Oryzias latipes: one gene and its partners. The protein of the gene in region 3 purifies or fractionates together with the protein of the main gene of each other region. This does not show direct contact. Links are inferred from orthologs where the notes say so. Each region holds a gene or a part of one and is shown on either strand. Other genes may lie near its edges.

The links.
Region 1: the proteins of cdk5rap3 (region 3) and ufm1 purify together in Homo sapiens (co-immunoprecipitation; 3 studies listed by BioGRID and IntAct, with this or other methods). This does not show direct contact. The link is inferred for Oryzias latipes from reciprocal best matches to the Homo sapiens genes CDK5RAP3 and UFM1.
Region 2: the proteins of cdk5rap3 (region 3) and pip4p2 purify together in Homo sapiens (affinity purification with mass spectrometry; 3 studies listed by BioGRID and IntAct, counting the BioPlex papers as one, with this or other methods). This does not show direct contact. The link is inferred for Oryzias latipes from reciprocal best matches to the Homo sapiens genes CDK5RAP3 and PIP4P2.

The regions. Positions count from the first base shown.
Region 1 is NC_019872.2:10,431,346-10,435,578, reverse strand, and holds the start of ufm1 (ubiquitin-fold modifier 1), read right to left. Parts: upstream 2,926-4,233; 5' UTR 2,808-2,925; coding exon 2,806-2,807; intron 2,702-2,805; coding exon 2,645-2,701; intron 726-2,644; coding exon 668-725; intron 1-667. UniProt on the Homo sapiens protein: Ubiquitin-like modifier which can be covalently attached via an isopeptide bond to lysine residues of substrate proteins as a monomer or a lysine-linked polymer.
Region 2 is NC_019869.2:23,150,298-23,153,907, forward strand, and holds the end of pip4p2 (type 2 phosphatidylinositol 4,5-bisphosphate 4-phosphatase), read left to right. Parts: intron 1-1,163; coding exon 1,164-1,254; intron 1,255-1,670; coding exon 1,671-1,814; 3' UTR 1,815-2,973; downstream 2,974-3,610. UniProt on the Homo sapiens protein: Catalyzes the hydrolysis of phosphatidylinositol-4,5-bisphosphate (PtdIns-4,5-P2) to phosphatidylinositol-4-phosphate (PtdIns-4-P).
Region 3 is NC_019877.2:19,050,177-19,053,828, reverse strand, and holds part of cdk5rap3 (CDK5 regulatory subunit-associated protein 3), read right to left. Parts: intron 3,626-3,652; coding exon 3,525-3,625; intron 3,410-3,524; coding exon 3,361-3,409; intron 3,158-3,360; coding exon 2,979-3,157; intron 2,899-2,978; coding exon 2,762-2,898; intron 2,523-2,761; coding exon 2,378-2,522; intron 1,814-2,377; coding exon 1,721-1,813; intron 981-1,720; coding exon 899-980; intron 808-898; coding exon 719-807; intron 1-718. UniProt on the Homo sapiens protein: Substrate adapter of E3 ligase complexes mediating ufmylation, the covalent attachment of the ubiquitin-like modifier UFM1 to substrate proteins, and which is involved in various processes, such as ribosome recycling and reticulophagy (also called ER-phagy).

The DNA of each region.
Region 1 (4,233 bases), on a different chromosome or scaffold from region 3:
ATGCTTTTCAGAAAATCCTTCCCTCATCTGCATCACTTGCTGATCAAATGCATGAATGCAGCCGTTTATGGCGATGCCATCGGTTCATCATAGGAATCCATGTGCCATAATGCATTTGGACCTCTGCATCTATATCTTCCACGGCATGAGTGGCTAGAAATCCACTCCTTGTGGGTCAAGAATCTTCGTCTGAAGCGGTGCAGCTTTTCTGCAAATTCTTTTCAATGTCCTTATACTTATAATAAAACGTTGACTCACTGAAATACTAAACATTTCCTTGTGTGTGAAACCAAAGCTAAAGTAACTGCCTAGTTTCTTTCTAGTAAACAGACTTTTGACTCATAAATTTATAACTTTAATTTGAAGATTCTCAACCTATAACTTGTGAAATTATGACTTTATTCTAATTTTTTTAAACTTTTTTTTTCTCATAATTTTACAACTTTATTCTTGTAATAAAATACAACATTTTCCGATAATTTTAGGACCTTATTCTCATAAATGTGTTTATTTTTACGGCAACTCTAATACTCCGTTTTCTAGAAAATATATTATTGCTACAGAGATTTTTTTTCCGCATAACTTAAAAACATAGAAACGTTGATGTCATTCATTTATTCTGGTAAAAATCTGTCTTTTGTTTTTAAGCAAAAGTCGGAGAGATTACCTCCTCAGCGGCAAACTTCAATACTGCAGTGAATGGCGTACTTTCTGGAACACTTAATCTGGAGAAAAACAAAAAACAACATAAATAAATGTGGGGAATAACTTTAGGGAATAAGAAGTGGTTCCTTGATATTCCCTCTCCTTGCGTTTTGTCCTGAGCTTTTAATGGACTTGAGTAAAAGCAATTACTGTCCCCGGCCGGTGTCTTCGTTCTTGATTAAAAAGCACACAGTGTTCTAAACGTTTCAGCCAGTTACACTAAAAGAGCCCCCAGATGTGCAGCTGTGCAGCATTCCATTAATGCTGATTACCATACAGAGAATCGGAAGACAGAGAAAAGTGAGGGAACATTAACTTACTATTAGGAGAATATAAATCCATATGTAACTTGAATTATGTGATAAACTCAATGTACTTTTATGTTGGCTGCTTCCCCAGAGGAGAAAGTGCCAAAATAAGGAGTAAACCCCTTAAAAAATTAAAAATAAATAAAGAAATTAGTTGAAAACAGTAAAAATATGAGAACATATAGTAATACCAGGACATTTGGGTGGAAAGGTGGAGTCATGAAGTAGAGAGAAGAGCAAAACTATATTTATCAGTCACAAAAAAAGACAATGTTCAACCAAATAGATCCCAAGTGAGGCAACAATAACTATCCATTTGGCATCAGTTTCAAGACAACTGAAAATATTATATTATATTATATTTAAAGTATAATACAATAGTAAAAATAAAAAGCATCCTACATCAATTATTAGATGTTATATTTTATCAAAGTATTTTATCAAAATATCTGGCTTGGAGTCAACGTGTATTTGCAACTGTTTTTTTTAAGCAATCAAAACAAAACAAAAAACTAAAGAACACCAACAATATATATCAATCTCCCTTCTACCTACATTTAAAACCTGAGATAATTAAACTTTTGAAAGATAAAAATAAAAAAGTGAAAGGTACAATTCCATAGTTATACATCCACTAATGATAATGCAGTTATAACGGCTCTCAAACTTAAATAGATCAATTTATTTGATTTCTTCCCAGCATTAAACACAAGTGAATACTGCAATAAAAAAATGACAAAATATAGAAGAAATACATTGATTAGAATACAAAGCAGAATGAACAAAGATGTCATTTTGACAGAATAATTACTCATAGTCATAAACAGACTTTCCAAATAGTCACATTTCCACTAATACATGCAAAATGTCAATCTACTGAATGTAAGGGTGATTGGAAAAAGAGGTGAATTTCTATAATCCCATTCTGATTATTAAATCCATCTGGTTTGTACTTCTCTAAAAATCTAGCAAGTGCCAAAGAAAATAAAGGCTCTTAGACTGATGATGAATTTAAAATGAGTGCATAAACACAAGAAAGCAACAATAAAACATAGAATGCACTGATGTAGAACTCTTCCCAGACATGAAGCTAATAGATTGGCCTGAAAACAGATTAGTTGAACTTTTGATTTTTTTTTTATAACCACTGAATTTAGTCACTGGCTTTGCAGGTTATTACAAAAATCTGTGTCATAATGAACACCCCCAATAAGAGGGATTATTCTGCACTTTTGTTTTTTTGGTTATCAATTTTTAACCGTCTGCTAAATAAATTTCCAAATAAAATTGAAAGGTCAGAAGTAAACCCTACAATAAAGTATAGTACTCAAAAACCTCAATCTACATTATTTAACCGTGAACACACCTCTGAAAATAAAAATACACAAGGATAACTGTCTTATAAAGCTGAAAAGGTCAGTTATTATGGCCACATCATGTTAAACCGGTGAATTATTATCCTCGATCTTTTGCAACACATTAGATCGCCGCGCATTTTTTGCATCATCTTTATAGGCGCTTCAAAATACCGCAGATTCAAAAGGAAATGTTTGAATTCCGCCTTTATTTTAAACGGAAATTTAAATTGTGACTGGTGAGGTGGTGTCTGTCTGTGTGTGTGTTGTACTCACACTTTGTATGGCAGCCGGGGGTCCGACGTCAGCGTGATTTTAAACGTTACTTTGGACCTAACAACGAAATGAAAACAGCGCTGTTACCATTACAGTGAATATTGTTGCTTTTTAAATGTATTTGCTAAAAGAAAATCCCACTAAAGCCAGGTAAAACTAACATTTTTTGAACGAGCAAGTCCCTTCACCACCTATACCGACACCCGGAAGTCTGAAGGACCCGGACGTACACGTCATCTCTGTCAGTTTTTAGTTTTAAAATGTTTCTGTCCCTTTATTTTATTTTACACGTTTATGGTCATTTCATATATGTTTTTTTAAAGAAGAAATTTAAAAAAGAAGAAAATAAGAAACAACCCTCCGTTTTTCCAGACAGGCATCCGTATCGGTAGCAGCAATGACTGAAGTTACCGTAAAGGACAACAAAAAAGCGCACTCAAAGAACGAGTGCACAATGAATTAATTTCTTTATGGTTATTATTATTATTGTTGTTGTTACAACGTAATAATACCTGAACAATGCTTTAAACATAAGTGAAACTGAGTTAAGTTATTTTTTTGTACACTGTAAAAAAATAATACCAACCTTGGACAATCGACAGATTATGGACCCTTTTTATTTTTCCCTTACAGCATTACTTTATTATAAAAAACTAAAAATACAAAAAAATTTAAAAAAAGTAAAACAAATGCTTAATCACTTATTGAAAATTGTTAAATTGATTGCCTTTTAATGATATTACTTCACTTGCTCCAAAAATTGATAAATTGATTCAAAAATCTTTCCTAATGTAGCATAATTTTGCACATGTTTTTAACTTTTAATACTTGATGAAATTTTGCTATAAAAATTCCTGAAACAGTGTTGTCTACTTTACTGATATAGTACTATGTTTTAATCATATGAAGGACTTTTATAAGTAACATAATCTGCATATATTTTAGATGACTGATCTGCATTTGCCATGTTGATTTCTAAAATAGTTATTTTTCACGTAATACTTAAGTAATTCATCTTTGGCATGTGCTTTATCAATACCTTATGATTCTTAATTCTGTCTGATAAAACCTAGGAACCGGATATTGATAAATCATGTAATAAAATGGTTATAGTATAACGGGGTGGAATTATATAAGTTTGCTTCCTTCCACTCCCTTTCAAGCAATATTTATTAATATGTCTAATTATCTTAAGTTTGATTAGTTACTGTATGAATGTATAACTGATGATTATATTGCTTTTGTGTATAATTTCTACTTAATTGCTTGAAATAAACAATTTCAAATCAAATCAAATAATGTGTTTAAAATGTTATTTTTCAAATGACACTGCTTTTCTTTGTAGTTTTTTTTCTCTTTTTTTTCTGATGAGTGGTGGCTGGATGGCTCAGTTGGCTGCGTGTAGACCTGGCAAATGGGGAATCAGGGTTTGTTTCCCAAAACGCCATGAGCTTCATCCAGTGTGGGTCCTCTGGCAAGACCCTTAAGCCTACCTATGTAGCCATGGGGGACCCAAATCTGGATTTTGCTGTGCTGGTCACAAGCCCGGATAAAGTACAGCGTTGCGTAAGAAGGGGCATCTCAACCCA
Region 2 (3,610 bases), on a different chromosome or scaffold from region 3:
TTTTGCTAAATAAACCCCCAAAACATGTAATTTTCTAAGACATAGTTTCTGCAGCGTGGCAATAGTTAGAAGGGAAATTGGGAAATTAGAAATTAGAAATTTACCTCTGAGTCGTGGGCGGTACTGTTGGTGCGGAGCAACCCCGCCCCCACTTTCCCTCAGTGTTATTGAGCAGGGAGCTTGTGGCCCGCCCAGCGTATTTTCTACGTCACACTAAAAGCTCCTTTTCAATGGCATTTTTTGTCTGCACACCAGTCAAAATAATATGAATAAAGAAAGACCTAAAATGCAATTTCAAGCTTAGTTTTCTTCAAAAGAAAATGTTAAAAAGCAGGATTTCCATCGGAGTGGGTCTTAAAGCAACATGCTGCCAATAAACACATTTTTGTGCAAGTTACTTCAAAATTATTTTGTTTCTTACCACATTTTATTTGTCACTGTTTCTCATTTGTAAAAATGTAACTTAATTATAAGAAAAAGTAAAGTAATGGGAAACGATGCTGCAAATGACTCTAAAATGTTTGCCCCCCTCCTAGAAAAGTCAAACTAGCAGAGTAACTAAGACTAATGTTCAAAAACCTGTCTTCCAAAACTGAGTTGAGGTAAATCAAGTTATTCCTAGATATTGTAAATTGTAAAGTGTGGTTGCCGTGTGATCACTGTTCAAACACGGAGTGGAGCACGGAAGAAGTCAAGAAGGAAGGAAGAGTTTAAAAGAAAAAAAACCCGTTAAATATCAGGTGATTCGGGCCCTCTAAGGCATCTGAATAGCAGCAATCCCTGAAGAATGTCGGAGTCCAGTCACATGAGAGCCATGTGAGATGTTGGGGAATAAAAGTTATAGTGGGTGAGGGGCTGCAGCAGAGGCAGCAGCTTCAGGGTAGTCGACTTGTAAATGCTTGGCTGGAGTATGAATGAAAATGAAAACGATGGGAGGTGGACATGTGACTGTCCTCATGAGTGACCTATGAGGTCTTCATGGAGCAGCTTTTTTGTAATTTGAAGCAAATAACCAGGAAGAAGGAAATGGAAGGTGTTACTGTCATGCAAAAAATAAATGCATTTTATTAAGTAAAATTCTGGTGTTATCTAAAATAAAAATGATTTTATTCTTAAAAATCCTAAATATCCCTTGTTTTCATTTTGTTCTTGTCCTTTTGTAGATCGTCTGTTGGCAGTGCGCTCCCCAGGAGGCGCTGTTGCGCTTACATTACTGTAGGAATGATCTGCATTTTCATTGGTGTGGGTTTAACAGTGAGTATGTTTTCCCTTTATGCTTATGAATTTGACTTCTGAGATGCTCATCTCTGGGAAAAACTTAAAGGTTTTTAAGTTTTTCTCCTTTGCTGGGTAACTATTTAAAATCGTGTTAACATCAGATTCTTTTATGAATTTGACTTTATGGCTGTAAAAAAAATGAAATGATTTTAGCAAGTTTTTTATTCCTCTTTAAAAAATAAAAAATGATTAAATTGAATAAATGAATAAATTACCACTAAACAAGCGGAAAGGAATGGGTAATAGAGAGACCATTTCACATTTCCATTTAATCTAATTTTACATTTGAGCAGATTTGCAATAAAATCAAAATCGTCAGTATTAGTAAGAGAATGTCAACCATGTTTTGATCCCCCCTTTTTTTTTTTTTTTTAAATCTCCTCCATGGTTAGGTCGGGACTCGAGGTTTTGCCCGCCGTTACAACGCCACCTATGTGTCCTGGGCATTTGCCTACCTGCTGGGCCTCATCTGTCTGATACGAGCCTGCTACTGGGGAGCTATCAAAGTCAGCTACCCGGAGAACAGCTTCGCCTAGAGAACAGTAAAGACGTGCACGGCTCAAACGACAAACCCTCTTTTTAGTTTCTTTTTTCCTTACCTCTTCAGACTTCCGAGATGTTACGCACGTCTGATACCAGAAGAAGTGTATGCTGGGGATTTCTCCTGTCGTGCTCATGTCTGGATTTTTTCTGAGTCACTGTGCAAACCCTCCTCCTGAAGGTCAATCCAGAGCTGGTCCACAAAGATTTGAAATCTTGCTCAAGTTTTACTAAAAAAAAAAAAAAAAGCACTTTTTTTTTTTTTAGATAAATGACAAATTTGATCTGGCTACTTTTTATTAAGTTTGTAGAACAATATGGTTTTGTTTAGGATTTTTGGACCAGTTTTTAACTGCCTAAGTGGCCTGACAGTACTCTTTCTTTGTCTTGTTACTGACCAGAACAAAATGAAACCCCCTCCTGAAATCATTGTCCATTGCACTATGATTTATGCAATTTTGAGTGAGGTTTTGCTGCTAGTTGATCTGGAGTTGCAGTGAGATACACATTCATGCTGCACTGCAACCTTGCCAGTGTGCTCGTAACAATGTTTGTTTTTTAATGCTCCAAACGATCAACTTTTAAAGGTAATTGTCTTTATGTACTCATGTGTGCCAATTATGTTGCCTACTGTAAGGTTAAAAAAAAGCATTATGCCCACCTCTGATTTCTTTTCTTTTCTTTTTCTTCCTTTTCCTATATGTTTGCAGCTTTAAGGAGCAATAGCCCTGCTGGGTCATTTTTCTTAGCCTAAATTGCTGCAATCGTTAAGATTATTTCCAAACCCAGAACCAGAGTAACTCACAGCTGCATGTGGACTCCGTCATGGCATTGAGGTTTCTTTATGTTTTGTTTCAGAGGGAGCTGAGATCTTTACTCCTTCCTCCTGGGGGTTAGAATGTAAACCTCCTCCCTCCGCTTTAATTGCTGCTTTCCAATCTCCTCTGAACTCCTTCCATGCTAGCATCTCTATATTAAAAACAAAAACTCAATCTTGAGCACAGTTCCAACGTCTAACCTTGTTTTGAATGTGATTATGACAATAAACCAGAAAAAAACGTATTAAAAAAACGAAGTAGTGGGAATAGAAGGAACAAATGGTTTGTGTGTCTTTTTAAAAATGATAATTTATCAATAAAATGTAAAAACAGCCAACACTGTTCTACTGTTTTTGTTGAGAATGTTTGAGCTCTGAAGTTTACGTTGATCAACTTTGCTGTGTTTCTTGTCTTTAGAGACACATTTTCAAATGTTTTGTAAATATTAATTTCATATCAAAAATTTATTTAGCTCTAAACCTAACAAAATCCTAAAATGATGTAATTTTGAAAAATAAAGAATTAAATGGTTTCTAAACTCTAAAAAACACTCCTGTTAAAGGGAGATTTTATATTGAATGAAACATTTTTTAACAGCTGATATTTGACTAAATTCAATATTTATCTTCTTATTATAGAAATTCCTTCAAGCTGCTGTACTGCTGTGATGAAATATTGCAATTTAGACAAGCATTAAACAATTTCAAGACACTTCACCTATCAAATAAACTAATAAAATAATAAATATACCTGAACCAAGACCCATAAAATTTAAACATTAGTTAGGGCATTCATTTTTATATTTTCTTTTTGTAAAATGATGTTTCAGTTTTGTCCAAAAATAATATAAAAACCCATAGCTCACAAGTTAATTGACATACTTTTGCTGAACTTTTTGAAATAAGAATTAATACAAAAGAGAAATACCTAATTTTATTTCTTGGTTATCATAATTTCAATAAAGAGGCAAGCAT
Region 3 (3,652 bases):
GAGCCTATCCCGGCCACTTGTGGGCGAAGGTAGGGGGCACCCTGGATAGGTCGCCAGTGTTGCAGGGTAGAGTGTCCACAATCACACACCCCACATACTCTCACATTCACACCTAGGGACAATTTAGATTAACCAATGAAGCATGTTTTTGGACGGTGGGAGAAAGCCAGAGTCCCCGGAGAAAACCCACGCATGCACGGGGAGAACATGCAAACTCCACACAGAAAGGCCCCCCCATTGATGTTCTGGTTTGGGTCCCCCAGCAGGGACTTGAACCAGGGGCCTTCCTGCTGTGAGGCAAAGGCGCTAACCACTGCGCCACCGTGCAGGCCTTAATTCTAGTTATTTCAAGTTATTAATTTTTTATTTTTAGTTATTAAAAAGCATACAAAAAAAACGCAATTCTAGTTATTTTCTCTAATCTGTCACATTAACTATCAACCTATTATTTATAAGGAATTTATTTTTCTTGATTAAAATTTTTTAAATATTGAAACATTTACTGAAATTTTATTATTGTGCACACTCCTCGTTCTTTTTTCCAGCTACACTCTTAAGTCAATCATTACCCCTAACATTAAATCGCTCATTTGTTCTTTTTTTGGGGAATTAGCCATTAAATTGTTTGCAAGCCTTCTCCTGCGCGACTCAGGAGTTTGGTTTGGTCACAAAGGAAATGAGCGAGATGTGAATCGCGTGGATCTGGGAGCCTGTTTACCTCCATCAGCTCATCAATGAACTGACTGCGTGACTGAGAGTTTTCCAGCACACCGAGCGCATCCTCTCCCCTCGCCACACCCTCGGGACCTAAAAAATGACACACTCATTACTCGAGTCCAGGCCATTCATAGTGTGAGCATGGGACAGAATTTGATGTGGAGTTCTTTCATTGACGTACAGTCTGTCCCTATGTCAACGATTTCAATTTCTATGGGAGCTCCCTCTGTGTCCCCCCAGTCGATGGCGCCTGTTGCTGCGTCCTGATGAAGGAGACAGAAGACCGGCTGCTCTATTCAAGCTTTTATCGCACACAGACATCAAAGTGGATAGAAAATAGATTCGCTTGGGTTTTATTTCCAACAGATCAGTGTTGATAATAGTGCACCAAAACCAGGTCTACATTAGAAATAAACAATAACTCTAAAGCCAACTTCAGGTCTTATTTGTCTTTATGTTTATTTACAATACATCCATGTTTAAATTACATTTTAGGAAGGTAAAAACTATAACAGTATCTGATTAATATGAATAATATAAATAACAACAGAATGACAGATATTTTATGCTTAAATACAAATGAGTTATGATTTTATTCTTTTCATTTGGTTTTTTTATTTGATAGAATAAAACATTGAAATGATTTCTAATAGAGAAAAACGTCAGTTCTTGCAGTCTTAAGAATATTAGAAAAATGAAAAAGTGATCTAGTGAAAACTAGTGACCTTTTGAATTGCATTGTGTACACAGAAAGAGTCCAAAAAGGGGTTAAAAATGTGTTTCCTTCAATGTTACTCAATTTCCCCCACAATGTTCAGTTTTTCAAAAACTGTTTAATTCAGTTAGTAAGAAAAGAAAAAGAGGAATCAGAAGAATGAGCAGCAATGTAGTGTCTCACATTCTAATTTTTTTACTGCTTAAATAGAAAAATGCTAAACTTATCACACTTTTTGTGTTTATTGTATTGAATAGATGATCATTTCTAACACTGCATGAGTCTTACCTCTGTAGTCGGCTCCAGACTGATTCCCCAGTCTGTGATGCCAGCATCCACAACTGAGTTACCTTCTGCTTTTCCAAAGTTGCCCCAGTCAATCTACAGCAGATTTTAAAAACAGGGTGCAGCACTGTGGTTCATAAAAGCACCTCAAACTTCTCCACAACACCTAGTAATAAAGTAATGTTACATGCATGAGGAGATCTCATTTTTGAAGGAACTTTCAGAATTTCAAAACCTTCAACTTTTTTCTAACTGTAATGATATGAAAGATTCTTTATAAAAAAAAAAAGGAGAGAAAATGCCACAGAATTTACAAACAATGGGATGTGTGAGGCTGGGCAAAAAAACAACCCCAATTCATTTTGAATCTTAAAAAACTAAAAATGGATAAATGCATGAATTTACAGTTCTTTAAAATACTAGCATTTATTTTTGTTGTATAATAAACCTCTTTCAGCTAATTATTAATATGATCATCAGACATTTTTTCTTCAGAAAGTTCCACTTTTCTTCTGCTTAAATCAAAGTTTTTTCCTCTTTCTAACAAAGTAGTAAGCTGAATGAGGAATTTGTGTATGAAAATGAAATGGTTTTAGCATTCTGGCAGCTGTAGTCAGGTGTTTAAAATGTCTGTGATGCTACAGAGATGTTGAAACCAACCGCATCCTCTGAGAGGGTCTCAGGACTTGTTTCCCCCATCGATGGCCTTTCCACGGAGGACGGGGCTGTCCCGGTTCTCCACTCATAAAATGTTGCGTGCCCTCTCTTTTGTACAAAGGTCAGCAAGGGCAGGACAGGTTCAGACCTGGAAGACACAACATGGGATCTTATGGGACCGAGGACACCACCACTGCGGTGCTTTTACAGACTCATCGTTTTATTTGAATGCTTTAATTAATGGAATTAACCAGTGGAACTATTTGTGGCTTAATACTCAATTTTACTGAACAGAACAGCTGCACGGAAGGTACGTAGTGTGTATTTTATATTGATGAAGTGCAAAAATGTCCCTTATGAATACAGTGGCTTTCATTTCACACTCACCAGTCACACAAAAAGTGTGTAAAGGCAGTGTAAAGCTTAATCGTTTCCTCTAACTTTGCTGCATCCCTGCCAACTTCCTCCAGAACCGCTGGCAAGTCCTTCACCAGAGCTTGAAGCTCTCGTGCTACACTGTCACCCTGTCGATGGAAAAACAACAAAGAAACTGTCTTGACAAAAAGACCGATCCAAATTTGTTAGCGATTTCTCTGGGACTTACAGAGATGCCGTACTGTCTGCAGGCAGCGTAGTAGCGCTCCCTCAGTTCCGCTGCAGAGCTCTGGCACTCCACCTCCCGCCTGCTGAGCTCCTGCTGCAGCTGCTGAGCTTTAGCCAGCTGCTTCTTCAGAGCTGGACCTTCATAGCTCACATTACGAATCAGCAGGCTGGCCACCTCCGCTGGGACACAAAAACAAAACCCACACAAAAACAAATCAACAGTACTTCGATTTTCTCTCTGCTGGAGATGAAATCTTTCTCCAAATTTCAGATTTTTGAACTGTAAGAATTTACCATCAACTGCATTCAATTTACCTCAAGTTGACTTTGGTATTTCTAATTTTACATTACCATGACATCAATAACTGATCGGTCAAACTCACCCAAATAAACATTGTCTGCTTCATAAAGGGACACAATTTCCTGCCAGTCCTGAAACAACCAAAAAACATTCCTCCCTAAACTTTTCAAACAACAAAACTTACAAATAAGAAAAAAAAAGAACTTTTGGAAAAAGCTCGACTGCAGCTTGTGTGACTCCTCCCACCTTCATCCTTTGAGAAGAGTATCGTCCGAAGATGTTCTTTGATGAAGCTTCAGTTCCTTTCAGGATCTCAACGATCCTCAAACAGTGAAAGTAGTGAATGTCTGCAAATTCAAAACAACAAAACACAA